Elephas maximus indicus: one gene and its partner. The protein of the gene in region 1 purifies or fractionates together with the protein of each later gene. This does not show direct contact. Links are inferred from orthologs where the notes say so. Each region holds a gene or a part of one and is shown on either strand. Other genes may lie near its edges.

Region 1 (15,936 bases):
AAAGCTATTAAAACAGGCCAATCCCATGAAGATGAGATTCTAACAATTCTGAGATCTCTTTTCAGTCTTGAGCCCTTGAAATTCAATTTTGTGTCTCAGGAAGAGGCAGAAATTCTGTGTTCTGGGAAACATCTGCCCCACTTACTACGGGCAGTTAATTCCTTGCTTAGCTCAAGGTGGGTGCTGGGTGGTGAAGGTTCAAGCTTACTCCTTGGGCAATTTAAAAACCTAAAAGCTAGTACAATGAGTAAACCGATACACTGTTTTAAAAGTGTGAACTTCAGGGTAAGAGGCTCCAAAACAAAAACAACTTGACTGCTATCAGTAGACAATTATTTTTTTCAAGAGAGACTGGAGTAATAAGGACTGGGAGATAGGACAGCATAAGGAATATAAGTGGAGGAATGGGCGAGGGGTGTGTGTGTGTGTATATATATCCAGGGTAGAAAATAAGTATTTTTGCTCTTATAGGAACTGACTTCCCATTTTAATTGTCTATCTCATAAGCATGGTTAAATCAAATTGTACTAGCCAATGTCCAGGAGAATCCTGTTTTAAAGAAAAAACAAAAACACAATATAAAGAGAAGGTAACAAAATCACTCTGGGGAAACTTAACTCTGTGACTTGACTGCTTTGAGGTTTGCAGGTAGTAGAAATGGAGGTATCCCAGATCATCAGAGTACCAGCATGGTCTTCTAACCGGGGACCAGGTATTTTACATACAAGTCAAACCTCTTCTTCTCCGCTGGGATGCTGAACATGTTTCCAAAGGATTCCAGAAAGTACACAGCTGGATTCAGGTGCTGTTTCAAGATGTGCCATTCTCTTTGATGCTGACAGTAGTTAATGAGCTAAATGTCTTGATACAGTAGGTCATATTTGGGAATATTTTTAGGATCAATAGGGCTTTGGACAATCAATTTTCCCCTCATTGCACCTCGATAGATTACTTCAATCAAATCTATGAAGTCTTGTTTGGTTTTGAAACTTCCCACAAACTTAGTGTGATCTGGGGACCTGGACAGTGTAACAGAGAAACAACCTCTTTTAGAACTTCTAATAATTACTTCAGGATAAACAAAACGATAGTAGCTTTTTTATTTTCTTCTTGTCAAGGAAGAAGACACAAAGCACAGCACTGATTTTTCAATTTGTGACTATAGGGCCATTTGGTGTATAACTAAAACCAGTGCTGTGGGTCACTGTGGGAGGCTGAAAGCTGTCATGTGAAGGGCTTCTGCTTCAAAATCTATTTTAAACACTGTTCAGATCATTAGCAAGAAGAGTTTTCTGAGTGTTGGCATGAGCTTAGTTGTTTGTTGGTTTTTTTTGCTAGGCACTGTGCAAAGGCCATTAACTAGTCATGATCCCCAAATTCTACTCACTAATGCTTTGGAATGGAGGATATTAAATATTTATATGTGTGCTTTTTTTTTTTCAGTATTACAAATACCAGATCTGTTTATATAGACATTTTATACAAGGAAATAAAATTACCAGTGAGGCCAGTGGTCGTATTTTAGTGTATATCCTTCTAATCCTTTCTACGTATGTTTTTTTATGTATGTATGTGTGTATGTGCGTGTGTGTGTGCTTAAGTATATTGCATGTATGTTTTTCACAATAATGAGAACCATACCCCACAAACTATTCTGTGATGTGCTTTTCTCAGCTACCATATTTTTTTTGAAGTTGTTAAATATGCATCTACAGCATCCTATCGATACATAGTAGCTCTCTGTGGACATCTAGGTTCTAAGTCTTCGCTTATAAAGCAAATGAACATCCACATAGCCAATTTTGTCCTCTTTCATGATTATTTTCTTCAGAGAAACTCTTAGAAATACAATTTCTAGGTTAAAGACACTGTTAAGACTTTTGATATGTAGTATCATAAATTGGCCTCTAGAAAGTTTATACCAAATTAATAATTACATTAATTGTGTTCCAGGAGAATAAATAGCTTGCACTTTACAATAGATAATGACAAAGAGATATACAAATCTATGCAAGCAGATAATTCAATTAAAGCAAGAAACAATAAGAATTACGGATATACTCAATAACAAACACTGGGATGCTGACTGGATGGAGTGGAAGGCATTAAAGAAGGCTTGAAGCAGTATGACTTCAAAATTCCTCTGGGTGGCTTAAAACAGGAAAGTTGGCAAGACAGAAGCATGTCTTAGTTTGCTGGAAGGAATGCTTCTTTTACAAATACAACCTACCAGTCCCAAGAGTTTAAGAATAATCACATATTTTGCTTAAAATGAAATTCCTAAGAAAAATTTTAAAAGCTGTTCTATATTTAAAAGCTGAAGAATGGCTAGTGCTTTGTAAACTGTACTATTCTTCCATACTTATGCAGGAAATTAAAATTTACCAATGCTACATGAAACACTCATTTTACACGAAAAATTAGAAAGTGCAATTGAGGAAACAATCCTTTTAAGACTCACAGGGCCAACACCACATGCAAACAGGTAAGCTGCTGAAACTGCTTAAAGGAAACTTTTAAGGCTGCAATAACGTCAAGTCAACCTCACTTACCCATAATCCACTTTCATATGCTGCCCATTGAAGAAAAATACAGTAGATGGAATATAACTGATGTCAAAATATTGGGTATAAACTGGAGTCTCGTCCACATCTACCAGGTATATAGCAGCCATTTTACTCAGGTGAGACGAGGTCTTGGAAAGCTGCGAATGGAGAGAGAGATGCAGGTTACAATGTGAGAGGAAGCTAATGTCTGTTCTGTAAAACTTTTTACTAGGACAGAGTATCTTATTTGAAAATTATTCCTGGGCCAGGAATCTAGTCCTTTTGGGTTTCACATTAGGCTACATTAGACATGGTGTAACTACACCACCCAGTCTGAATTATGGCTGACAAGGGGTTCTGGGTAAAGTTGTGTGAATAAATTTTTACTCTTATTTTTTCCCTAGTTTCGATCACATGGGTTTCCCTGTTTTGACAACGCGTTATAAAAATAACACGTTCACTTAAAAACAAAAAACTCTGAAATATATAATGCAGATACCGAAAGCCCCCGTAATGATAGCAAATACTTTATCTATTTGGTACTTTCTATTTTTTTTATGTGCTAACTGTTCTAAGTGCTTTCCTTCTGTTAACTCATTTAATCCTTACCATATTCCTTTGAGGTATGCACTATTATAGTCCTCATTTTATAGACGAGGAAACTGAGGCACACGGAGTAAAGTAATTTGCCCAAGGTCATATAGCTAGCAAGCAGTAAGGCTGGGATTTAAACTCCCATTTTGGCTTCAGAGTGTGTTTTTGACCTCTGTGATATACCTGCCTCCCTATAGCTAAGGGTATGCTTTTCTGGTCGTTCCCTTTCTCCCACCAAGGTTAACACACACACACACACACACACACACACACATTCTTAATCACAGCAGTGAGGATCCTAACACCTGATGCACACTGTTGGTGGCAGTAATAGAAATGGAGGGAAGAGGTCTCAGTGTTGGGTTAAGACTCTGTCTTAGGCTGGGTTCTCTACAGAAGCAAAACCAGTGATGTGTGTGTGTGTATGTGTCTGTGTATTTACATACACACACATATATATAGGAACCTTGGTGGCACAGTGGTTAAGAGCTTGGCTGCTAACTAAAAAGTCACCAGTTCAAATCCACCTGTTGCTCCTTGGCAACCCTATGGGGTAGTTATACTCTGCCCTATACTGTTAACTATAAGTCGGAATCAAGTCGGCAGCAATGGGTTTAGTTTTTTTTTTTTTAATACATATACGTATGTATACATATGTGTATTTATAAAAAAAAAAAAAAAACCTGTTGCTGTCGAGTTGATTCCAACACATAGCATCCCTATAGGACAGAACAGAACTACCCCATAGGGTTTCCAAGGAGCGGCTGGTGGATTTGAACTACCGACCTTTTGGTTAGCAGCTGTAGCTCTTAACCACTGTGTCACCAGGGCTCCAAGTATATGTATATCCCCAACCCAGTGCTGTCAAGTTGATTCTGACTCATAGCAATATTTTTTCTGGTTTTTAAGATATATGTAGAGAGAAAGAGAGCGAGCTGGAGGCTTCTCCTGACTTACACACCTGCAGGGGCTGGTGAACCCAAGATTGGCAGCTCAGATAGCAGGCCTCTGGCTCACAGGTTGCAGAGGCTGATGAATCCCAAAATCTGAAGGTAAACCGGTAGCTCAAGTTCCAAGAGCCAGAGGTCAGATGACAATCCAGAGTGAGCAAAAGCCAGCGAGCTTTGCCAGAAGGTCCACATATATTGGATGCAGGCCAGACCCCCAAGGAAACTCCCTTTAAACTGACTGGTTGATCACAGCAGGTCTCATCATGGAACCGATTACATTATGTCAGATCTCATTATGAAGGTGTTTACATTATATTAGATCTCGTTATGGAGGTGATTTTATCATTACGTAGCTGCCAAACTACATCATAACTGCCAAACCACTGAGAATCATGGCCCAGCCAAGTTGACAAACAACCTTAACCCTCACAGGCTATCTCCATAATAAATGGGAGACAAGAATAAACCTAATCTGTTCCATACACTCCCTCCCTACTCATCAGAGTGTGAGGATGTGTTGTGAAATCAGAGATTATAATCAAGCACATACTGGAGGCAGCAATCTAGATTGAAAAGAGCATCTGCAGCCAGTTCAAATCCAAGCTGTGCAGTTTAGTGGGTCTATGACAGTGGCAAGTGACTTGACCTCTCTGCTATTACCCCATCTGGGAAGTGGGGCTACCATTACCTCACTATTTTGAGGACTGAATTAGATAATGTTTGTAGACACTTGTTAATAATGTTTTCTCCTCTTATACTGCGTTGTTGGTGAAACTGAGCTTCAACAGCAAGTAGTGGGGAAGGACACCCAGGACAGATTCAGCACAACCACAGCTTTGGGGATTCAGCTCAGTGGAAGGAACATCATCAGTCTTTAGTGAAAGTGTGCTGAATAGTGAACAGCTATAGCCCCAGGCTCTGCCTGCTCCCCTTCATACATTTTGCAGAAAATGTAATCATTTTTAATAAAAACCATTTATTAAAAAAATTCACTTACAATATCATCTAGCTGCAGACAGACAGGATCCTCGTCTCTCCCAAACCTGAGAACCAACACTTTCTCTGCAGTACTTTTTATTGCCTGGTCTACTTCTTTTTTGCTGATCAGCTTGGGCAATAGGAAGCTCATCTTGAAATAATCCAAATTATTAATTCTCGCTGGCAATCCTGAAATAAAGCTGCAATGTTTAAAGACAGTTTGAGTGCATGAGTCCTAACTATGTAAAAAAAAAAAAAAACTTTTTGGAATAGGTAATTATATTTACGTGGTATAAAAACAAACAATACAGAAATTTAAAGTGTGAAAAGTCTTCCCTCCTTGCTTTTCCCTCCTCCAGCTCAGTTCCCATTTCCCAACCTCCCCCTGAAGCCCCCATCAGGTATTATTTTTATCAGTTTTTTACATATCTTCCAGAGTACAAATATGCATTCCTATATTTCTTCCCTTTTCACCCAAAAGATAGCCCACTCTATCAATGTTCCAGCAGGAAACAGATGGCACCCTCAACTTTGGTAATTTGAAGACAGTTTAGTGAAGGCAGGATGTAGGAAAACAAGGTATAGTGCAAAACTTTGGGGCTAGTAACCGTGGAGACATGGGAGGGAGTAGTTACCAGAACTGGATGGTGGAGACAGCTGAGTGGAGAGTGCTGTTGGCTAAGCAATCAGCCTGCAGTTAAGGGATGCAACCACTCTCCTCCCTCCTACTAGTGCTCCCATGGCTGCCTCCAAATGAAATCATAGGGCAGGGGACCTGCTGAGGCAGGCCAGCCTCCGGGTCACAGAACAGTCTAGAGGAGGAAAGGCATGTCGGGAGAGCAGATGGAAGTCCAGCACACACTTTATCCACTCTTCGCGCTTTGCATTTTTTACCTAACATACAAAGATTTCATACTTATATAGAAAACTTCCACTTTCTTTTTCATAGCTGCGTACTACTTCATATCATACTATTTAAACAGTCCGTTATTGATAGACATTTGTATTAGGGACATGGCAAACAGATCAGCTGAAGGCGTGTAGGAAACAACAATCAAAAAAACACAGAAAATACTGAGATAGAAAGGGCCTTACCCATCCCCCTCATTTTACAGACTAGCTTGCTTATAGTTACACTTCTAGCTCTACAAGGACTAGAATTCAAACTACCAAATTTCTACTCCAGTGCTCTTTCTACTATATAAGCTTCTACTTTTATTATTGAAGAAATTTCATTTCTAAGGAACTTCTTAACAAGGAGTTTTTTGTTTTTTTAGGCCAATCTTGAGAGATTTCATTGAAATATACTTGATATTTTGAATTCAGTTCCAAAGCTGGCTAATGTTAAGAAAAAGTGAGAATTTCTTTCATTGTATTTTTGTGATATGTCATATCTTAAGGTATGAATAAAAATTCCTGCAATAGGTCATACTTTAAACAGGGAAGCTGATTGTCAACAGGGAATTCACAAACTGTTGGTATCAGAACAAATTACCGATGAAAAGTCAAAGAGAAGATTAATCTGTCCCACCACTAGATTGCAAACATTCAGAAACTCCTCTATGTTGCTGATAAAGAGAAGAAGGTGAGGGGAGGGCAAAGTTGTCAACAAGGAAGCCAGGGGGGGACTGGATGGAATGCTGGAAGGAGAGGGAAATTGAGATGACACTTAAGAAAATGTCCATAGCAAAGGATACTAACAGGGAATTCACAAAACAAGAGGTACAAATGGCCAATCAATCATAGTTAAACTGTGATGCGTTAAGATTGTGTGTCAACTTGGCTGGGCCATGATTCTCAGCGTTTACATGTGATCACTCCCAAGATGGGATCTGCTGTGAGTAACCGAGCAGTTGAAAGGAAGTTTCCTTGGGGGTGTGGCCTGCATGAGAATATATGCAGCCATTCTGGCTTTTTGCTTGCTCTGGATCCTGCGGCTGCCTCCTGTTCGTCTGACCTCTGGCTCTTGGGACTTGAGCTAGCAGCTTGCCTACCAATATTGGGACTCAGCGATCTTCACAGCCTGTAAGCGAGAGCCCTGCTCTTTGATCTGCCCATCTTGGGTTCACCAGCCCCAGCAGCTATGTGAATCAGGAGAAACTACTATTCTGATTCACAGACTTGGGACATTCCAGCCTCTACAATCAGTGTGAGCCGTTTCCTTGATATAAATCTGTGCATTCATACGCTCTACTGGTTTTGCTTCTCTAGAGAACCCAGCCTAAAACATAAACTTTACTAATAACTAAAGAAAAACAAATTAAAAGATAACTTTAAAAATCCACTAAATTTGCACAGATTAAACAAGATAATAATATACAACAATCACACCAAATGTGAATGTTGGGGCTGGTATTAATCATCCCTGCTGGAATGCAGAGAGGCAAAACTATTCTGGAAAGAAAGCTATTCTTTGACCAACTATTCCATTAAAAAAAATTAATACATAGGAAATAATCATACACGTGCAGAAAGATTTATTGTGTAACATGTATTCATTACATTTATAATGGTGAAAAATTGGAAACAACCTAAATGGCTATCAATAGGGGACTGATGACATAAATGAACACAGTCCTGCAATGGGCCACTATACAGCCACTAATTTAGAGATGAACAATTAATATACTGAAATATTCTCATGATACATAGCTCAAAAAAAGTTACAAAACGGTATGTAAAGTATAAACCCAATTTTACATGAACCGTAAATATAATGTATGTGTACATATTTGCATAGAAAAATTGCTGGACGAGTAAACATCGTAAACACCATCAGTGGTTATTTCTGGGTGTGGATAAACGGGTGATTTTTATTTATTTCAGGGTGTGCCTCTGTCCAAGTATCCTACAATAAACATGTATTATGAGAGAAATACTTGATAAACTTTTTAAAGATGCCTGTGGTTAGACTGGGAGCCCTGACGGCGCCGTGGTTAAAAGCGCTGGCTGCTAACCCAATGGTCAGCGGTTAGAACCCACCAGTGGCTCGGCAGAAGAAAGATGTGGCGGTCGCCTTGGAAATCGTATGAGGCAGATCTACTCTGTCCTTTAGGGTCGCTGTGAATCGGAATCAACTCGAGAGGGCAACCGGTTTGGTGGCTGGGCTACTCCTGTCTACAACTGCCAGGGAAGACACACTTACTTTACTTGTACAAGTCACCTTCTTCCACTTCAGGGCTGTCAGCAAACGGGACCCCTTCTCGGAAGAAGCGGGACACACGTGGCGCTTTTCTTCAGCTCCAACTCAGGCAGCGACCCTAACGCCAAGTAACCGAGGGGCTGTTGCCTAGCAACCCTCCGCTGACCACTTCCGGGTAAAGAAACGAGAAAGAAAACGCACTGGTGTAGTAGATACTGAGCGGTCGCTGGTCAACCTCCGTTTAACCGCCCAATATGCAGGCGAGATTATTCTAGTGACCGCCCACTTTACCGGCTCTAACCGGAAACCCTAGAGTCACTTCCGCCCATATTAAATATGATTCACCTTTCTTCTTCAGCTCTTCCCCCCCTCCCCCATACTAGACGTTGGATAGTACCTTTGAGACTAAGCGTGATTGGCTCGCGAGGAGACTCAAAAGAGGATAGTCTAGCCTTGCCAGCCAGGTCGCGCTTTGTCCCACTCCTGGAACCAGGAACCGGCGTTTGGCGGACTGCTCTCGGTGGTATCTTTGCGCGGATAGAGAAGGCCCCGCAAGGTATCATGGGGGTAAGAATGGCGGCTTTCAAGGTGCGGATTTTGGCTCCCTGAGGCCGCCTGAGCGTAGAGTGGCGGCGCCGACGCCCCACAGTCCGGGACCGAAGGGCCCGGAGAGTTGTGCTCGCTGCCGTGAGTGTCCCTTCTTTTTCCTGCCCTTGCCACTCCGGGCCGCTCCCGCGGCGGATATCGATCCCTTGCTCAGGTCCGGGTTTGAAAAGTTAACTTTTTCGGTTGTCACCCAACTCGCTTTTTTCACCTCAGGGATGCGTTCCGGTCCTTCCTGCCCTGTCCCCTTTCTTTGCTCCGGTCAGATCCCTCACCCCTCCTCAGGCCCCTGCCTTAGCTCACTCCCTGACCGATGATCAGCCGGAGTAGGGCCCCGTGTGTCTTCCTCTGTTTTTTCACGCGGCTGTCGTTACCAGACAACTTCGTGGGCGATCACCTCTAGATGTCAGCTTCAAGAGTGCGAGAATTTTTGCCTGTTTTGCTTTCTGCTCTGTCCCTATTGCCTAGAACAGTGTGATTGGCTCAGAGAAGGCACTCAGTGAACAATTGTTGAATGAGTTAATCTAGCTTTTTCTTCACTGTTTTTCTCATACCTTTTGTGGCGTCTTTGTCATTAGTTCTCCAGAATCTAGCCTCTTCACGCCTTATTTTTTGTTCTTCAAAGCTAGTTAAGGCCTCTCTGTCAGAAACCTTTTCGTGTGCTCCTTTGCTTGATGTCTCCATAAACTTGTGGCGTCTGGTTCTCCTTTGATATGTTTAAACTCATTCATTTATTCCTCAAACGTTTGTTTTAACTAGGTGCTGGGCTAAAGCAGTCAACAAGATAGACGAGGTTCCTTTAGTTGTATAGAATGGTATTCTAGAGGTAAATTTTCTAGTTTAAACTACAGCTACTCAAAGCCTGTATGTTTCTACCTCCCTGTTTGGAGTGTCGCACATGTATACAGGTGTCACCAATATGCGTCCATCTCTTTTATATTCTGCCTAATATTTTCAAAATGCAGCTCTTGCATCTGATTGATAATGTGTGTCCAGTCTGTTTGACTGTACTCTCAATGTAGAGCTGGGTGTGTTCATTAGAGCTTGGCAAAATATTTTGGATTCTGGTGGCACCCTACCCTTTCCTCTGCTTCACTGACTTGTTGGAATGAGGGGAATTATGCAAGCACTCAGAATAGGTGTATGTTTGCAATGCCGTGTAATGAGAAGTAAGAAGAATTTGTTACTTGTTGAAGGTCAGGAAGTCTTACAGTCACTTAAACAAAATATTTTTCAGGAACACCGTTCCCTAGAGTTTCTCATCAATGTTTTTGGTGAACATCAATAGTTATTAAACAGATTTTGACTGCTGTGAGGTAATTCTTTTCTACAAAACACACTGGTCTGAAAAAAAGCCACCAGAGTATGGATAATATGGATGGCAGCCTAATACCCCAACATCTCTATGTACTCTGTTGTATCTGTAGTTTAAAGAGAGGGATAGAGTAGAAGAATAGAGAGTACATTCATGAAAAAAAAAAGTGGCAAGGGACCCACTCAGTATATAGGAGTGTGGTAAATAATGTAAAAACTTTAGTTATATAACTGTTTATGGTTATAAAGGAGCCCTGGTGGCACAGTGGTTAAGTGATAGGTTGCTGATCGAAAAAGCAAGGGCCCTTTGAACCCACCAGCTACTCAGCAGGAGGGGAGAAAGATGTCATAGTCTGCTGCTATAAAGATTTGCAGCCTTGGAAACCCTATGAGGCAGTTCTAATCTGTCTTATAGGGTCACTGTGAGTCAGAATTGACAGCAGTGGGTTATAGTTACATAGAACTTTCACATGTACTTTCTTGTCTGATCCTCATAATAATCCATATTTTAGGTAAAGCAAGCATCGTTTTCACTTTATAGACATGGAAGCGATGGCCAGCCAAAGATTAAGTTATTTGCTTGTAATCACGCGAATAGACAGTGTCAAGAGCCTGGATTCTAACTCAGGTTTTATGACTTCAAACCTAGGGGTGTTTCCACTACATTGCCTGTACAAATGCTGCTAGTCCCTCATAACTGTTCCTTAGTGAAGTCTATTCTTGTCTGGATGATACCCTTTTGGATTCTGGGGGGATGTTTGTGTGTTTCTGGTGTGTGTTTGGATTCTGCAAGGGGGTCTTTCAGGATTGTCAGTGACTTGACTGAAAGTTTTTTGCAAGATAAGCTAAAGATATCCTGGTCTTGTTGCAGGGATGGGGAGAATTAACCCCTAAATATACCTGTAACTATAGGTATTCTGGTATATTTCAGAGCCTAACCTTCTCCTGTTTTATGTCTTGTCTTAAATGGTTTATTCTCCTGCCAGGGAAATCCCATAGCCTGTGATGGAGGACAGCAGCGAGGATGCTTCGATCCATCGACTGGAAGGCACTGATCTGGACTCTCAGGTTGGTGGTCTTATTTGCAAGACCAAAAGTGCGGCTAGTGAGCAGCATGTCTTTAAGGCCCCTGCCCCTCGCCCTTCATTGCTGGGACTGGACTTGTTGGCCTCCCTGAAACGGAGGGAGCGAGAGGAGAAGGATGACGGAGAAGACAAGAAGAAGTCCAGAATCTCTTCCTACAAGGACTGGGAAGAGGGCAAGGATGACCAGAGGGATGCTGAGGAGGAGGACAGTGACCAGTCCGGCCGAAGTAGCCGAAAAGACAGGTAAAGGCCTTAAAAAAAAAAAAAAACCGAACCCACTGCCATCAAGTTGATTCTGACTCATAGCAACCCGATAGGACAGAGTACAACTGCCCCATTGAATTTCCAAGGAGCGCCTGGCGGATTTGAACTGCCAGCCTCTTGGTTAGGAGCAGTGTCACTTAACCACTGCGCCACCAGGGTTTCCGGTAAAGACCTTAGGAAGGATTAATCCAAAGGGAATGAAAATGGAGACCAGAAAGTAAAATCCAGTGTTTATGCTCATTTTTTTTTCATTGCTTTTTTTACCTGGTTTTTTATTTATTATTGTTTTTTTAAGTGAAAGTTTACAATTCAAGTTAGTTTTTCATATAAAAATTTATACACACGTTGTTATGTGATCCTAGTTGCTTTCCTTATAATGTGACGGCATACTCTTCTTTTCCACCGTGGATTTCCCGCGTCCATTCAACAAGCTCCTGTCCCTTTTTGCCTTCTCATCTTGCCTCTGGGCAGGAGCTGGCCATTTAGTCTCGTGTATGTACTTGAGCTAAGTAGCAGTCTGTTCGTGTATCTCTCAGTTTTTTTTATTGGCCATTTAGAGCTTTATACTTTTGTTATGATTCTGTAATGTTCAGAGTAGGTAGGAATTGATATTTTCTTCATATTTGTGGGGAGAGTTCAAAGGTAACTAGAGAATAAATGATTGAAGTTAGAAATGCTATGGGTTGTTGCCATATGTAAGACTGGGGTACCAGGGAGATAAAGTGGAAAAGGACAGAGCACTTGTTTGGCACAGCCAAGAACTTCTTTTGGGCAAGGTTTCTTTCCTGCAGAGGGGTCTTTTATCATTACCCATACCTTTCAGACATTATCGATGTGCCCGAGTAGAGACACCATCCCATCCTGGTGGTGTGAGTGAAGAGTTTTGGGAACGCAGTAGGCAGAGAGAACGGGAACGGCGGGAACATGGTGTCTATGCCTCATCTAAAGAAGAAAAAGATCGGAAGAAAGAGAAATCACGGGATCGAGACTATGACCGCAAGAGAGACAGAGGTAAACTGGCATAGCACTTATTGCCTATTAGACATTTGAATAAACATACTGCCTTTTTCCTGTTGCAGTTTTCATAATGCCCAATAATTAGGGAGCCCTGTTTGCAAGATAGGAGTCCCTAGGTGGCATAAACAGTTAAATGATTGGCTACTAACTCAAAGATTGGTGGTTCTAATCTCTCCTGAGGTGCCATGGAAGAAAAGCCTGGCAACCTACTTCCAAAAGATCACAACCCAGAAAACTGTATGGAATATAGTTCTACTCTGAAACACATGGGGTGACCATGTGTTGGAATCAACTCAGTGGTAATTGGTTATTTGCAAGATGTTAGTCTGGTTTATTTTGACCCCACTGGGATTGGGAATGATAGGCAATTTAAGAAAATTTAAAAAAAAAAGCAACATAGCTGCTTTGCTTAAGCGTATGGTTCTTATTTTATTATAAAAATTGCTGAACAGGTGATAATGGGTAAGATGTATGAGAAAATCAGATTTTACAGTATTATTGGTGCTAGAGAAAGGACAGTGCTCTGGAGCAAAGCCAGACGTAAAATCCAATGCTGGCTTTGCTCAGTATTAAGTTCTATAGCTTATAAACTTGTAACTATTAAAAAACTAGTAACTATAGAGTTATAACTCTCATTTTTTGAATTCTTGCAGGAAAATAACTATTACTGTGAATTTGAAACTTTCTAGCCAGTAACTATTTTTTCCTCTTGAAAGAGTGGGAAAATGTGAGTTTCAGGAACCCCATGGATGGCATAATAGCAGTGCAGATTGCACCTGTGAGTGAGTGGTAGAAGGCCTGTCCTTTCTCAAGGGTGAAGATGGGTGTAAGTTAGGGCAGGACACGTTTTCTAAGCCTTGCGTGTGGCTCTCCACAGATGAGCGAGATAGAAGTCGGCACAGCAGTAGATCGGAGCGAGATGGAGGATCAGAGCGCAGCAGCAGAAGAAATGAACCAGAGAGCCCCCGACATCGGCCCAAAGGTGGAATTTCCTGCTTCCTGGCTGTGGGTTGTGGAGGTTCACGTGTATAAAAGTATAGAAAGGCAGAGGAAGTGACTCCCATCCTCAGTGGGTTCATCGTGGGCAATGATTCTACCATGAGCCTCTTGGAATACTTGGTTTGGAGTCGGGTGGGCATAGCCCTGACCTCTTGAGATGGATATGCTTCCTTTAGGGAGATAAGCACGTTTGCTGAACAGGCAATTTTCCAACTAGCAGTAAAGAGTGGGGAACTGGGAGGCAGAAGGATTTATTAAAAAGAATTCTTTGTACTCAAGAGAGATATTTACAGAGACAAATTCAACAATTCTTAAAACGTTGTTATAAACAAAATGAAAACTAATCCATTAAAATCAAAAGCCTTTAAAAACTGTCAAAAACACCTTATCCATTAGAAAAAGGTGCAAGATTTATAAATAGTAAAAGAAATAAATTTGGGAAATTGACTTTTGGCTGATTGTTCTAGCGCTATGTCTTGGTAAATGAACTATTTCCTGTGGATGTGTCTTTCGTGGCTTTAGATGCTGCCACTCCTTCAAGGTCTACCTGGGAGGAAGAGGACAGTGGCTATGGCACTTCAAGACGTTCGCAGTGGGAATCACCCTCCCCATCACCTTCCTATCGGGACTCCGAAAGGAGCCATCGGCCTTCCACTCGAGATCGAGATAGGTGATGTTCTGGTTGAAGCATCTGAAGCATCCCTGTTGCTCTGGGTGGGTGACAAGGGGTGGGTGTGATGAGGCAGAGGGATCTAAGATGGAGGAGCAGCTGGCAGCTGGGGAGAATGTCTCAGCTTAGTAACTGTTTAAGATGCTGGCAATCCTGTTTCCCAGGTCCGTGAGGAGTAAGTACTCCGAGGACACACCTCTGCCAACCCCATCCTACAAATACAACGAGTGGGCGGAGGACAGAAGACACCTGGGGTCCACCCCGCGTCTGTCCAGGGGCCGAGGTAACTCAGTGGGAGGAGGAGGCAGGAAGCAAGACCTCTGATCCTGGTGAGGCTGAGCTGAGGCTGTGCTTCTGGGGCTGTGTGACTTTCCAGGTCTGGTCTTGGCCACTGGGGATAAGTTAGGCTCTTGTGGACTGACGTGCTACGTGTTCTCCTTCAGGAAGGCGTGAGGATGGTGAGGAAGGAATTCCATTTGACACAGAAGAGGAGCGGCAGCAATGGGAGGATGACCAGAGGGTAAAAGCTTAATGTCTTTAAGGGGCCGAATAAGAGGTGGCAGAGGAAAGTGGGGTTAGTGCACAAGAGCCACAAGTGACACCCTAGTGGTTTTGGACTTTGATGAGATTGTTAACACTAGCTGAGTGGTTCAGTGCTGAAGTCCTGGAATCTCTTTCCAGAGGACTGGCTCCACAGGAAAACTTCTTGCCTAATGCTGTAGGCCAGACCTAACTTTCCTTGTTAGGTGCTGGCGCCACAGTGTGGTAAGTCTAAGAAGTGCTGTTATGATGGGCTGGATGACTCATGGTTCTTTACTGCCCTTTAGTCGGGGTGCTCCATGGCACTAGTGACTTCTTACCACACGTTTCCTCCCCTATTGGCTAAATCTTGCACGTAAACTTGACCTGCTTCTTGTTTCTGTCACTTTGTCTTATGCTTTTCAGCAAGCTGACCGGGATTGGTACATGATGGATGAGGGATACGATGAGTTCCATAATCCCCTGGCCTACTCTTCCGAGGACTATGTGAGGAGGCGGGAGCAGCATCTGCATAAACAGAAGCAGAAGCGGATTTCAGCTCAGCGGAGACAGATTAATGAGGTGAGGTCACCTACAGTAGTTGGAGTGTATTCAGAGCTGAAGTTGGATGCGTATGGGAAAGGTCGTGTTCAAGGATGATACCATAGTTTGTCTCCCCGTTGCCTAGAGACCAGATGTACATACACATCTGGAGGTGGAAGAGGGCTGGGCACAGACCTTTCAGTAGCTTACAAAAACCCCAGCACGTGACTTCTCTGCTTTACGGTACTTCCTTGAGGGGTGCTGTTGATGGGTGCTGTCATCCACTCACTCATCGATATGGTGGGCCCTGGCTCTGTGGTCTGTGTCCTTTGTGTCTTAGTGGTCAGGACTGATAAGTCGAGCCAGGAACTGTCACCATTTGTGTCTCCATATGGGGGTTCTGACCTTGAGTAAGGTGCTGCTTCTTGGATAAAGTAACCGCAGGTAATTTGAGATCAGCGATTCTTCAGTCAAAGGAGCTGCAGGGTTGAAAGGCCTGTGACATCTCTTGGGCCACCCATGGTCCTCCTGTCAGGACTCGAAGGGTGGACTTGCCTGGTGACCTTTCTGGATGACCTTCTGGTTACAGTCTGAGTGTGGCTTCGCATTGTGTCCCCACAGGATAACGAGCGCTGGGAAACCAACCGAATGCTCACCAGTGGTGTGGTCCATCGGCTGGAGGTGGACGAAGACTTTGAAGAAGACAATGCAG
Region 2 (14,961 bases), on another chromosome or scaffold:
ACTTTACCAAGCATGATGTCCTTCTCTAGGGACTGGTCCCTCCTGATAACACATGCAAAGTACATGAAACAAAGTCTTTCCATGCTCCCTTCTAAGGGGCATTCCGGTTGTACTTCATTGAAGAGAAATTTGTTTGTTCTTCTGGCAGTCCATGGTATATTCAGTATTCTTCGCCAACACCATAATTCAAAGGCATCGATTCTTTTTCAGTCTTCCTTATTCACTGTCCAGTTTTTGCATGCATATGAGGCAATTGGAAATATGTGGGTCAGGTACGCCTTAGTCCTCAATGTGCCATCTTTGCTTTTTAACAGTTTAAAGAGGTCTTTTGCAGCAGATTTGCCAATGCAACACATTATTTGATTTTGTAACTTCTGTTTCCATGGGCATTGACTGAGGATCAAACTAAAATGAAATTCTTCACAACGTAAATATTTTCTCCGTTTACCATGATGTTGCTTATTGGTCCAGTTGTGAGGATTTTTTTATGTTGAGGTGTAATCCATACTGAAGGCTGTAGTCTTTGATCTTATCAGTAAGTGCTTCAAGTCCTCTTCACTTTCAGCAAGCAAGGTTGTGTCATCTGCATATTGCAGGTTGTTAATAGTCTTCCTTCAATCCTGATGCTGCATTCTTCTTCGTATAGTCCAGCTTCTCAGATTTGCTCAGCATACAGATCAAATAAGTATGGTGAAAAGATACAACCCTGACGTACACCTTTCCTGATTTTAAACTATACAGTATCCTCTTGTTCTGTTCAAAAAACTGTCTTTTGGTCTATGTACAGGTTTCACATGAGCACAGCGAAGTGTTCTGGAAATGCCATTTGCACTGCAATTGATTACTTCTGTGCGGCATTTATAGCCATGGTCTTGTAACTCCCATCTAGGAGACTGGACGGAACTGTGTGATAGGGTAATGTGGCCCACCAAGGGGATTGGTCAGTTCTGCCTTAAAAGAGAGCCAATTTCAGAGCAGAGAGGAAAATCCCAGCACCACCAAGGAAGAACAGCCAGGAGTCAGCACGTCCCCTGGACCTGGGATCCCTGCGCTGAGAAACTCCTGGACCCAGAAGACAGAAAGTGAGCTGTAACCTTGAAGATGGTGAGAAGCAGTGGCAGGGGAGACCCAACAGCAGGAGATGGTGTGGTGGGCTTCCCAGCCCACAGAGAAAAAAAGATGAGTGTCTTTGGGCAGAGGCCAAAGGCCAGGGAGAGGTGTGCCTGTGAGCACAGCTGGGGAGAGGCTGTCCTGACAGAAGAACTGTATCCTCAACGTTTTTGAGCCTGAATTGTAACTGTTACTTCCCTAATAAACCCCATAATCATGAGTATTGTCTGTGAGTTCTGTGTAGCCATTGCAATGATTTATCGAACCCAGCGGTAAAGTAGAAAGTGCTGTTCGAGGGATGGCTGGCGTCAGAATTAGCAAATATGGCGGAGAGAGGAGGCTTGTCTGGTCTCCACCTCATGGGACTCAGCCTTATGCTGTTGATCTTGGTTCTCCTTCCCCCTTGTGGGGTTGGAGGAGGTCAGATACTGCCCCCACACTGTTTTTTACACCATTCTTCACAATGTTACTCATAATTTGTTCTGATCCACACAAAATTTACTTTACATAGTCAATAAAACACAGGTAAACAAACATCTTTCTGGTATTCTCTGCTTTCAGCTAAGATACATCTGACATCAACAATGATATCCCTTGTTCCATGTCCTCTTCTAAATCCACCTGGAATCTCTGTCACTTCTCTGTTGATGTTCTGCTGCAACCATTTTTGAAATATCTTCAGCAAAAATTTACTTGCGTGTGATATTAATGATGTTGCTTGAAAATTTCAAGTTCTATTGGACCACCTTTCTTTGGAATGGGCACAAATATGGATCTCTTCTAAACAGCTGACCAGGTAGCTGTCTTCCAAATTTCTTGGTGTAGGTGAGTGAACGCCTCCAGTGTTGCATCCATTTCTTGAAACATCTCAATTGGTATTCCTTCAATTCCTGGAGCACTGTTTTTTGCCAGTGCCTTCAGTGCAGCTTAGACTTCTTCCTTCAGTACCATTTGTTTCCGATCATACGCTACCTCCTGAAATGGGCAAACATCAACCAATTCTTTTTGGTACAGTAACTCTGTGTAGTCCTTCCATCTTTTTTTTGATGCTTTCTGAATCATTCAATATTTTGTTCATGGAGTCTTTCAATATTGCAACTTGAGGCTTGAGTTTTTTCATTTCTTTCAGTTTGAGAAATGCGGAGCATGTTCTTCCCTTTTGGTTTTCCATCTCCAGATCTTTGCACATTTCATTATAATACTCTATCTTCTTGAGCTGCCCTTTGAAGTCCACCATTCAGCTCTTTTACGTCATCATTTCTTGCCTTCGCTTTAGCTACTCTGTGTTCAAGAGTAAGTTTCAGAGTCTCTCCTGACATCCATTTTGGTCTTTTCTTTCTTTCCCATCTTTCTAATGACCTGTTGCTTTTTTTACATATGTCTTTGATGTCAGCCCACAGCTCGCCTAGTCTTCAGTCATTAGCATTCAGTATGTCAAATCTATTCTTGAGATGGTCTCTAAATTCAGGTGGGATACACTCAAGGTCATATTTTGGCTCTCGTGGACTTGTTCTAATTTTCTTCAGCTTCAACTTGTAGTTAATTATGAGCAACTGACGGTTTGTTCCACAGTCGGTCTCTGGCCTTGTTCTGATTGATGATATTGATCTTCTCTACTGTTTCTTTCCACAGATGTAGTCAGTTTGATTACTGTGTATTCCATCTGGTGAGGACTATCATTTATGTTGTTGAAAAAAGGTATTTCCAATGAATAGGTTGTTGGTCTTGCAAAATTCTATCACACAATCTCCAGCATCGTTCCTATCACCAAGGCCGTATTTTCCAACTTCCACATTCCAAGCGCCAATAATTATCAATGCATCTTATTTGCTTGTTTGATAAATTTCAGACTGCAGAAGTTGGTAAATATCTTCAATTTCCTCATCTTTGGCATCAGTGGTTCATGTGTAAATTTGAACAATAGTTGTATTAACTGGTCTTCCTTGTAGGCAAATGGATATTATCCTATCACTGATAGCACTGTACTTCAGGATAGATCTAGAAATGTTCTTTTTAGCGATGAGTGTGACATTGTTCCTCTTCAATTTGTTAGTCCCAGCATAGTAAACCATATGACTGTCTGAATCAAAATGGCCAACACCAGTCCATTTCAGCTCACTAATGCCTAGGATATCTATCCTCGAGTGTTCCATTTCATTTTTGACAACTTCCAATTTTCCTAGATTCATACTTTGTACATTCTGTGTTCCAATTATTAATGGATGTTTGCAACTGTTTCTTTTCATTTTGAGTCATGCCACATTGGCAAATGAAGGTCCCAAAAGCTTTACTCTATCCACATCATTAAGGTTGACTCTACTTTGAGGAGGTAGCTCCTCCCAGTCAAGTTTTAAGTGCCTTCCGGCACTGTATCAGTGTTCTGCCGCTATTCTTTAGATTCTCACTGGCCAATTGTTTTTAGAAGTTTATCATCAGGTCTGTCTTCCTAGTCTGTCTGTCTGGAAGCTCTGCCAAAACCTGTCCACTATGGGTGACCCTGCAGTATCTGAAATATCAGTGGCATAGCTTCCAGCAACACAGAAGCCACCACAGTACAACAAACTGACAAATGAGTGGTGGGGGACTCCCATATAGCCCCCATTATCTTCACTGTCTTACACAGAGGTCATCTTCATGGAAGGCGCATTCTGGAGTCAAGCAGTGCATGACCCAGCAGCCCCGCTCCTCCTCTTTCCAGGACTTTTAAAGCAGGCAACACTATAAAATGATGAATGCAATGTGGATAAAGGTATGTAACACAGAATAGGTACAAATATCATGTAATGAATAGGCTCCATTGTATATTTTACAAGTTTATGTTATGCATGTAGGTGAAGGTACAAAGGCTCAGTGGAAACTTTTATGTTGAGAGCAGAGAAGGAATCAGTTACTTATTGAATCCTTAGAACAAACCTAGACATTATTCCTGTTCCTATTTTACAGGTGAGGAAACAGGTACAGAGAGGTTACCAAAAAAAACCCAAACTCACTGCCGTCGAGTCAATTCCGACTCATGGTGACCCTATAGGACAGAGTACAACTGCCCCATAGAGTTTCCAATGAGCGCCTGGCGGATTCAAACTGCTGACCTCTTGGTTAGCAGCCATAGCACTTAACCGCTACGCCACCAGGGTTTCCACGGAGAGGTTAAGCAACTAGTAAATGTCAAACAACTAACAGGCAGGACTTGGACTCATAATCCATCAGCCACAGCCTTGACCACAATGACAATGTATCTCCACCTTTTGTGATTGGCAACATGCTTTATTGAACTCCCTTGGAAATTTTCTCAATTCTATCACCATTTGTGGATGGTACAGCATTAAAAAGTGATTAAACTTTATTTATTTATTTGGGACAGGGAGTATTTAATATAAAGACCTATTACCTATAGCAGGGGATTGGAGGAAGGAGGGTTGGCTAGTAGGAAGTAAAGAGAACTCTGAAGAATGTTATTGTTGCTGTTGTTGGCTGTTGAGTCGGCTCCTGACTCGTGGTGACCCTAAGCACAAAGGAATTGGACCATTGCGACCCACAGGGTTTTCACTGGCTGATTTTTCAGAAGTAGGTCACCAGACCTTTCTTCCTAGTCTGTCTTAGTCTGAAAGCTCCACTGAAACCCGTCCAACATCTTAGCAACACACAAGACTCCACTGACAGACGGCTGGTAGCTGCACATAAGGTACCTTGGCCGGGTATCGAACCAAAAGTGGTTAAACTTTAAAAGTATTTACTGTCATTTAAGATTGTACTAAAATTTCATTCAAATAGATTGTATATGATTTGTAACTTAAAACAGAATTTTAACTTTTTTCGATTTAATAATTCTTGCAGTTTAACTTAAAAGGAATTTATTTAAAAAGTATCATTTTTCCCACAAATAAATTTACTGGTATCATAACCATTGCTGTCAAGTCAATTCCGATGCATAGTGACCCTATAGGACAGAGTAGAACCTCCACATAGGGTTTCCAAGGCTGTAATCTTTATGGAAGCACACTGTCACATCTTTCTCTCAAAGAGTGGCTGGTGAGTTTGAACTGCTGATCTTTTGGTTAGTAGCTGAGTACTTTAACTACTGCACATCCAGGTCTCCTTTATTGATGTCATGCCAAAACGAAAACCAAACCTGTTGCTGTCCAGTCAATTCAGACTCATAGTGACCCTATAGGACAGAGCGGGATGGCCCTACAGGGTTTCCAAGGGAAGGCTGATGGATTCAAACTGCTAACCTTTTGGTTAAGCAGACTGAGTTCTTAACCACTGCACTGCCAGGGCTCCATTGACAAAACTGCTCTCATGCCCTAATACTTGAAATCATGGCATTTTATTCTTTTAAGTAAAAGCATCCAGTTTTATTTTTAAATGATGAAGGTTTTGGGCTACTCTTTGCAAGCACTTCCATGCACCTGACATTGTGGAGGAGAAACGGTGCCACTTTCTGATTTTTAAATCTGCCAAGGCCAGCATCCCATGAAAACCCCTCAAACCCGGTAAATCTCTCAGCCTCGGGCACACCTGGCTGATTGGTCCTGCTCTCAGGGCCTCTCTGCATAGAAGGATATAATACAAACTACAGGACAGGGTCACTGCAAGATTCATGGTAATGCTAAGCACCTGAATTTGAAATGTGGCTGCTGCAACTGACGAACCAAATTTATTTTACTTAATTTTAATTAAAATTTAAATTTAAGAACTGATACTTAATTCAACTTTTGGAAATATTTTTGTTTGAACCAACTTGAGTTTGTGAATCTACTTTCTCAATTGTAAATTTAATGAAATTTAAATGTACATCAGAAGTTTCTATGAAAATTCTAGCATTTGAATAGAAATTTGCTCTAAGGTTAAAATACACATCGGATTTTGAAGACTTAATAGGAAAATAAATGTGAAATACCTTAATTTCTTATTGATTACACGTTAAGAAAACATTAAAAAGTATGGCATTAAATAAAATACATTATTAAACTAATTTTATCTGTTTTCTTTTTTTTTTTTTAAAGTGGCTACTAGAAAATTTTAAATTACATACGGCTCGCATTCTATTTCTATTGGACAGCACTGACATAGATGGTTTGCCAAACAGAAAAAGCCCTAAAATAAAATAGTGGCTATTATTTGCGTGAGATAAGAAAAACAATGTTATTCCTTTGTGAAGATTAACACTGCTTGACGTCAAGCAGGTGCTCCAAAAACAGTATTAGCTAGAAAATACTGGTTCTGATAAAGGAAGAGAAATGAAGGTCGCAGGTGGAATGTAAAATCAGGTTTTTGAATTGTCACTTGGCGCTTAGTTCTAGGCCCAGAAAACTTAAAGCTGTCCCGTTAGTGGCCTCGCCACGGAAGTGGGTGCCCCACGGCAGCTCCCAAGACTCGCGGTGGCCTCGCGGCCCAAACCTGTGGCCTTTCTCAGAAGCTTTTCAATTGCATCGCAAAGCGGAATAGCCTGGAGTCCCGAGCCTCCCGAACTCCGCGCCCGAGGGCGTCTGGAGCGCCTCGTCCAGCCACGAAGGCGGCCTGGATGGGGACACTCTAGGCGGCTGGTGCGCCGCGGGCAGAGCCACGGCCCCGAAACGCCCGGCGCCGGGAAGACAGGAGCAGCCGCGAAGGCGCCAGGGGAATCTGAAGCCCGAGAAGCCGAGAGCATGACGGCCTGAGACCGGGCCCAGCGACCCCAGTCGGAGGCGGGCCCACGCCCCTTTCGAACGCCCGAGCGGGGCTGATGACGAAAACAGGGCGCGACGGACGCACACACCGCCCCGCGCTCGCACGACGGTGCGCGCTGGGAAGCGCGAGGGTGTCCCGGGCCGTCACCTGCGCGACCAGCCTTCCGCCTCGCCCACGCTCTGAGCTCCCGCCACCTCGGCAACTCGGAGCCCGCCTCGTCCGAGGCCTCCGCGGAAGCGAGGCGCCAGGCCTCGCTTCTGTCTCTTTAAATGGTGGGGCCAACGGGCCGCCCCTGCAGCTGCTGCCTGGGAGGCCCCGCGCGCGCCTATTGAGGGACGAACCAAGATGGCGGCGGCATTGGCTCTGTGAGGAAGACGGAAGAGGCGGTGGCAGCGGCGTAGAGGAAGGGACTCCCAACAGCCAGGAGCGCTCGGGCGGCCGGGGGTCTCGGAGTCTCCTGATCAGCGGCAACAGTAGCAGCAGAAGCAGGCGGCCGTCGGTTTCGGACATTTGAAGAAGGGAGGGCGGTGCGGAGCCACCGGCTACGGTGGCAGGGTCAGGTATAAGGAAGGAAAACATGGCGGCGGCAGCCTGAGTAGGCGGCGGCGGCGGCGGCGGCGCGGGAAGCGACTTCGGGGAGCTCATGGCGGAGGCTGGGGCAGCGCAGTGACTGGCGCCCCGAGTTCCTACCGCGGGCGGCGGAAGGACGCGGAGCGCTGCGCGCCTTCTCGGGGCGGCCGGGCGGCCGGGCTCGCCGTGCCTGGACAATAGCGCCGAGGAGCCGCAGGCGAGGGAAGGCGGCGGCCCAGAGCTCGGGCCCGAAGGCGGGCCATGCGGGCGGCGGCGCGGCCCCGCGGCGGCCAGCGGCGGCAGTGAGGCCGGGGAGACCTTCGCTCGGCGGCGCCCTCCCGCCTCGGCTCCCGCCTTCCCCGGGCCCCTGCTCGGGCGACTCCGGCGGGGCGCCCGCCCCAGGCCCTGGGCGGCACGATGACCGACACCCGGCGGCGGGTGAAGGTTTACACGCTGAACGAGGACCGGCAGTGGGACGACCGAGGCACCGGGCATGTGTCGTCCGGCTACGTGGAGCGGCTGAAGGGCATGTCCCTGCTTGTCAGGGCCGAGAGTGACGGTGAGTGGAGCCCCTCGCGGCGGGACTCTGGTCGCCTCCACGGTTGTCGGGGGGCAGGGGCGCCCTTCGGACAGGATCGGAGGGGTCCCCGGCTGGGCTGCGGGGGCGCGGTGCCCAGCCGCCAGGGAGCTCCACGGAGAGCGCGCGAGTGTCTGCTTCTCCGAGTGCCTGGGGCATGTGGGTGGGAGGGGAGCCGAGCACGTCCGAGCTGCGCCGCCCGGGAGCGGGGAGAGGTCGGGGCCGGGGGAGCGCGGGGTGTGCGGCTCTTCCGCACCCGTGGGGTGACCTTGAGAAAGGCACCGCTGCGTCCGATCTTCCGCCTTAGTTCACCCATCTGTAAAGCAGCGAGATGACACTTTGTTGGAGCTAGGAAAGTTCTTCGCCAACTCACTCTGAAGAGCTTTTTACCCTGCACATGCTCTCCTTGTTTCCTTTTAATATCTCTCTGCTGCCTGTTTCTGATCCTGTTGCAGGTTGACAACAATGGTTCATGGATCTGGCGGCTACACTCGGCAGGGAAAATGCGCTTCTTTGCCCGGAGAAGATAGACTTGTGTTACTCAGTACTGCTTGCCTTTTTCAAAGTAGCAATGCCGACTTTTGTGGGTCGTTTTCATCTGTAAACATCTTGCAAAATTGGAATCATTCTATGCGAGCTTTTTTGGTTCCTTAAATATATGTTTATATTTTGGTTCAGGTAACAGGTGGGGAGAAGTTGGCAGATGTTTTTAAAATCGTTTAAGATCTGCCCTTGTGCCTCAGGCTTCACATAAACCCTTCACATTTTTTGTAACAGCCCTCCAGGTTCATAGACCACGTGGTGTCAAAAGTAACAGTGTTTCAGATTTATAAAGACTTGCTCCTTGTAAGGATTCCCACTTCTCTCAGTGCATACTGTGAATTACACTTAAAAGAATATAACCATCTCAGGGGAAACTGTTTTCACGTTGTTTCTTACCGGTTTGGAAGTAGTTTTATTTCACCTTTCTTGTTACTTTGCAGTCTAATTTTCCAGTAGCTTTTTCAGTTTATTATGGTTACAGTCGTTGGTCACATATCTGAATTATTACAAATTCATTTCAAGGAATTTTCCATTGGACACTCTAACCAGAGCTTCAGTTACACAAAAAACAAAATTCTAGGGATATTGACGTTCAGTTTGAACTGAAAAGTGGTACAATGGTAATTTGGAGTAAATTGTCTATGGGCTACCCAAATTAGCTTTAAACTGGAGAAAAATAATTTCTTTTTGGAGGCATTTTTAAGATTTTGAATATATTGGATTTATTTTTTTGAGACCTATCTGTCTCGTGAAATAATATGTTTGACTGTCAGGTGTTAGTGTTCTATTGTGTAGGACTATCACATAATAATCAGCTATCCTACAAGTCTGGATGTTTGGCAGAACTTTTTACTTAGTGAGTTGGAAAGGTTCAGTTAACTTCTTTTGAGATGACAGCATGTGGATCTTTGAAATCTCAAACGTAAAACCTTAATTCACATCATGTATTTAAACTTGACTTAATACAAATGAGTCTTTTGTTTAAAGTATTTTTAAACATTAAAGCATAATGTCATACTATCAAGAGGAATCATACGCTTCTAACATGGTAATTTAGGACTCTGTTTTTTTCCCAATTTTGATTTTTACCACTTTAGCAGTAGTCCCTAACGTCTTTCCCTCTCTTTGGAGGGAAAGTTGAATGACTAAAACAAATGGCTTCAGTTTTTATCTAACAGATAAAGAGAGCTAAACTAAATTACTGGTATGCTCTTGTTAAATTTGAGTTGTAAAGAAAACTGAATCCAAAGAGTGGGCTTAGAAAAATCCCAGGAAACTTGTGAAATAGTGTAGGAAACACTTTTAGTTTAATGATTAACATTTTTTCTAATAGGAAAATTCCAAATATGAATAATAATCGTTAAAATTTACCAAATGCCCACCATGTGCCAGGGATTCTTTTGGGACTTTTCTTGTAAATTCTCACAGCACCCCTCTGAATCTGAAATAGATACTATTAATAATTGTTTTTGTTAGTTGTAGTCAGATAAGCTCCAACTTATGTGTAACAGAACAAAATATAGTGCAAAAAAAGAGGTAGGTACTATTATTGCCATGTTTTACAGATGAGGAAAGTGAGGCTCAAAGGGCTAAGTAACTTGCTTAAGATCACATAGCCAGGTCAGTGTTAAGATCTTGCTTAAGATCTTTGCAGCTAGGGTCTGTGTTGAGGCAGGGAGACTATAATAATGCTGTCTCAAATGGAGTCTCGGTTCTTGTTAGAAGAGCTTGACACCTAACAATCAGAGAGGCAATTTCTGAATGGAAGTACTTGTGGCCCCCGTATTACAGGGCAGATCAGTCTTGGGGTTAGTATGTGCATCCCCTCAGTTGCTGAGTGCCTTAGTAGGTATATGGCCCACCTGCTTTGGAGGGGAGGGATGTCTGACTGAGCTATGGAGTGCATTTCTGGATCACAGCCTTATTCACTAGGTTCCTCATGGCAGTATTTGTTGTGGGAACATGTTTTCTTTAAATGTTCTTGTTTTGTACTGTCAAGTTGATTCCGATTCAGTGACCGTATAGGACAGAGTAGAACTGCCCCAAAGGGTTTCCTAGATGGTAATCTTTATGGGAGCAGATCATCAGGCCTTTTCTCCTACAGGGTGGCTGGTGGCTTTGAGCTTCTGAGCTTTCGGTTAGCAGCCCAGCACTTAACCATTGTGCCACCAGGGCTCCTTCTTAATGAAGATAAAAAAAAATTTTTTTTTTCTCTCAGGATTTATGGTAGCTGTGTACCTATAATATTACGTCTTTCAGCAGAGATTTAGTATTTTCTTTCAGCTTATGCCATACCTGTTAACTTGCTGAAGTGAGCATAATTTCATTTCTTACTCATGCTTTCCTGTCTTCGTTGTGGTTTTTATGACCTCCCACCTACAGTTTTTGAATTGATAAAAAGAAGTAAAAAAACTGGATTTCTGCACACAATGGAGGATGTCCTTGGACGTAAAGGCACATCCACACTCTTTACTACAGACACTGGCCAAGCATCGAGAATGCTGTTAGTTGCTGCAGAGTTGATCCTGACTCATAGTGACCTCATGTGTGCAAAATAGAGCTCACTGCCCCGTAGGATTTTCAAGGCTGTGACCTTTTGGAAGCAGATCACCAGGCCTATCTCCCGTGGCGTTGCTGGGTGGGTTCAAATCATCACCCTTTTAGCTAGTAGTCGAGCACTTCAGCATTTGTGCCATGCAGGGACTCCTAAATTCTGTATTTCTACATTTCAAAATAGTTTTCTCTATTATCCAACTTTACTTGCCTGTTTCAGGGTTAAGAAGCAAACTCCTCACTGTTACTTGAGGCACGGGGAGGATGAGACCCAGGGAAATGTTTTGTTCGGGTAGTATTTGTAGCTGATGGTAAAACTGGAATCCGTACTTCTGTCTCTTGATAGAACTCTGCCTTGGCTGTAGGTGGGTCTGCCCCTACCCCTACTGTAACAGAGAAAAGGAGGGCAGAACACTTTGTGAGAAAAAGGCTTTTTTTTCGGGGGGGGGGCTGCTGTGGTAGAAGAAATGAACGGAGGTACCATCAGCCTTTTTTTTTTTTTTTACTCACCTTATAAGTCAGTAATAATATAAAATGTTGCATACAGTAAACATTCCAGATGTATATTTAGCTACCAAGAAGAGCTCAGTGTTAGTACCGGGGCAAGATTGCACTCTGACAGTTTACTTCAACAGGGTTTTTCTTTGTGTGTGCACCTACCTTATAGAAAGTTAATAGTCCTGGGGTAACCAAACCCCTACTGATCATCCGTTGCAAATGATAACTTCCCACAGTTTGAGAGCTGTTACCTGCACTGGCTATAGCTCAGGGCCTGGAGTGTAGTGGAGGCTTGTCCAGCTGTGAAAGCTTTTAATAAAATGTTACCAATTTTTCCCCCTTAAACCTTCCTTTCAGGTTTTAAACGCCATTGTGTAAACTGGAGCCCTGGTGGCGCAGTGGTTAAGAGCTCGGCCGCTAACCAAAAGGTTGTTGATAGTTTGAATCCACCAGCCACTCCTTGGAAATCTCACGAGGTAGTTCTACTCTGTCCTGTCAGTTTGCTATGAGTCAGAATCGGCTTGGCAGCAATGGGTTTGGTTTGTGTGTGTGTATAAACTGTGGGCAAAAAAAAATCAGGATAGAGGGACTTGGAGCACAGACCTGCTATAGACCTTACAGATGAGTTTTTGGACTTGAGTGACTCACTTTTGGTGGTGCCTTCTTCCTACACATAAGCATTGATGAAGACGGTATAATGGGTAAGCCTGAGGCTGAACCACCTCATCAGGGGGACAGGCTGGAGCTGTTCATCTGAAGTCCTTCACTGTTTGTCCAAATTAGTCCTGAGACCACCACCTGGCCTTAGGTACTCCCATACTGTCTGAATCTGATTGGTTGGTTGATACTGAAGATTAAATCACAAAAGTTACAGAAACTCTAAAATAAATCAGTCATCCACTGAAAGGAACTGAGATCCTCTAAATATGTTAAGTTTTCCAGATAACTAAAGTTTTCCAGATAACTAAAGTTAGTTATCTTTGTGCATCAGTAATTTTAAAACCGTCGGCTATTTCCATGGAATGCTTCCTAAATATAAAACATTATACTGAACCCGTGTTGGTTAGACTCATACTTGTAATGTGTTTCTGGATCATCATTGTCAATACAAAATTTTCTACTGTACGGCAGTACAGCAACGCCATTAAGATGATGGTCTGAGCACGCGCTGAAAACAGTGCTGATTGCGCGCTGGTTATGTACTACTGCGGTAAGCACCTCAGTACAAATTTTCAACTAATACTCATGGCGATCCTATGAGGTGTAGGTATTATTTTTCTTCACATAAGTCTTGGTGTATTCTTTAATTGAATAGTGAGTCTTTTTTTTTCCAACCAGAAATCTAGATTTTTATGTGAAATCTTTCCTTTCAAAAACGTTTGCATGGAATGTGTGTGTGTGTGTCAGTGTGTCTGTGTGTTGTTAGACCAGGAGTCAGACAAGCTAGCTGCATCCAGGATGCAGGCACTAGTTTTAGGTCCTCTGATTTAGACTCATTGAGAACAGTACCTTGCTGTCTGTGCTGCCAGCTACCCTTATTCTCCTCCCCAGAGGTGTTTACTCTGTTTTGATGGTGTGATGAGGACTGGCAACAGGGTATAACAAAACAAAACAAAACACCCAAACCCGTCAAGTTGATTCCAACTCATAGCGACCCTGTAGGACAGAGTAGAACTGCCTCATAGGGTTTCCACGGTTTCAAACTGCCAACGTTTTGGTTAATAGCAGGCTCTTAACCACTGAGCCACCAGGGCTCCATTTTATCAGTGTATTTTGGGCATCAATTTGTGTTAGCATGCACAGATCTATGTCATTTAAAGTAACATCGTTTCCCACTGTTTAATTTACACAGTGTCCTGTTGGTGGCATTTCAATTTTCCGGTTGCTCTCTAGTCCGTTCCAACTCATGGCAACCCCATGTGTGTCAGAATAGAACTGTGCCCATAGGGTGTTCAGTGGCTGATTTTTTTAGATATAGATCAGCGGGTCTTTCTTCACAAGTGCCCCTGGGTAGACTTCAACCTGCAACCTTTTGGTTAGCAGCCAAGCACGTTTACTGTTTTTACCACCCAGGGACTCCATCAGTGGCATTAGAGTAGCATTTCTTAAACTTATTTTTCTCAGTGCACCTTTATACTCTTAAAATTAAAGATCTCAAAAAGCTTTTGCTTATGTGGATTATATTTGCTGATATTTAATTAAAACTAATGCTTTTGAAAAATATCAATTCATTTAAAAGTAGAGTGTTTTCTTCAGTGTTACATGTTAACAAAGTTTTTAAGAAAAAATATAAAAGAGTTCAGTGAGGAGAGTCATTGAATTACGTTCTTAGAAATATCTTACTGTGTGGTTTAATTTTTAAAAGAGGAAGATTTTCACCTCTTTCTGCATTTAGCCTGTTGCAGTGTCACAGGGTAGACCCTGTGAGAGAAATAAGAATTAAATAAAAAAAAGCAAATAACATCTTATCATTATCATGAAAATCGTGTTGATCCTCCAGCCCAGGTGGGGTCCCCAGACCACACTCTGAGAACAGGTAGCTTAAAGATTGGTTCTAGGTTTCTTGTGTTAATACAGGCATTGCTGATGAACTTTATTCATGTATCTGGGCACACTTGCGTGAAGGCGTAGGGTAATTTCCTTGAAGAGAAATTACTGGACAAAAGAAGCGTGTGTTTAAAATTTTGATAATGATAGACGATCCTTCAAAAAGGTCCTGCTGATTTTCCATTTTAGGAGTAGTAAATGAGGATTAACAACATCTTTTTTGACATTCAAGAAACAAGATAGTAATTAATGTTTTATTTTTCTTTGAGGAAGTACATGCACAATTACAGGTTTGCAGACTTTGGAATGGACTTTGTGACAAGCATTTGCTGTGTAGTAATTTTTAGTTTACCTTTGATAAGGGTTGTTGTGTTTGCTAGTGGTCTGTGTGTTAAATCCTGGAATGACATTTAATTAAATGTATTGATGCTTTTCACGTAGTTTGATCACCCTCTGTTAATTTTTCTTTTTGTATTCATATTCCCCCTCCCAGTCTTTCAGGTTGGAGGTGGGAAGGCCTTTCTCCAGTCTTGATATTGGGGTTTTCTGTGTAGGGTTGTCGATCTCTAGTCTGTGTGAAAGAATATCTTTTTCCGGTATGTAGGGGGGAGGGTCATGGAAGAGGTGAGGGTGAATTCCTCTGGAATGATAACTCCTCTTTGGGTGAATGGATGTGTTTCTCAAATGAGGTGAGGGGGCTGTCTTGCATGTGTGCGAGTTATGTTGGACCTACCTGTTAACCAAAAGTGTGTGTTAACGTTACGAGAGAACTGTCTCTATCTTTCCCTTAATGGTGCTTAACATCCCCTACAACGTCATCCCCCTCATTTTTCACCTGTTGTCTCTGCTACTGTATGCTTCTCACCTGAAGCTGGAGTCCACAGCCCTATCCG

Evidence for each region.
Region 2: the proteins of DHX38 (region 1) and PPP4R3A purify together in Homo sapiens (co-immunoprecipitation; 3 studies listed by BioGRID and IntAct, with this or other methods). This does not show direct contact. The link is inferred for Elephas maximus indicus from reciprocal best matches to the Homo sapiens genes DHX38 and PPP4R3A.

What each region holds. Positions count from the first base shown.
Region 1 is NC_064839.1:38,399,007-38,414,942, reverse strand, and holds the start of DHX38 (pre-mRNA-splicing factor ATP-dependent RNA helicase PRP16), read left to right. Parts: upstream 1-8,677; 5' UTR 8,678-8,766; exon of another isoform or gene 8,767-8,777; intron 8,778-8,805; exon of another isoform or gene 8,806-8,897; intron 8,898-11,113; 5' UTR 11,114-11,132; coding exon 11,133-11,455; intron 11,456-12,299; coding exon 12,300-12,487; intron 12,488-13,370; coding exon 13,371-13,475; intron 13,476-14,014; coding exon 14,015-14,162; intron 14,163-14,326; coding exon 14,327-14,445; intron 14,446-14,605; coding exon 14,606-14,682; intron 14,683-15,107; coding exon 15,108-15,263; intron 15,264-15,845; coding exon 15,846-15,936. Other genes in the region: TXNL4B (thioredoxin-like protein 4B), read right to left, coding at 854-1,019, 2,553-2,704, 5,088-5,219. UniProt on the Homo sapiens protein: Probable ATP-binding RNA helicase. Involved in pre-mRNA splicing as component of the spliceosome.
Region 2 is NC_064828.1:105,160,699-105,175,659, reverse strand, and holds the start of PPP4R3A (serine/threonine-protein phosphatase 4 regulatory subunit 3A), read left to right. Parts: upstream 1-7,641; 5' UTR 7,642-7,767; coding exon 7,768-7,909; intron 7,910-14,961. UniProt on the Homo sapiens protein: Regulatory subunit of serine/threonine-protein phosphatase 4. May regulate the activity of PPP4C at centrosomal microtubule organizing centers.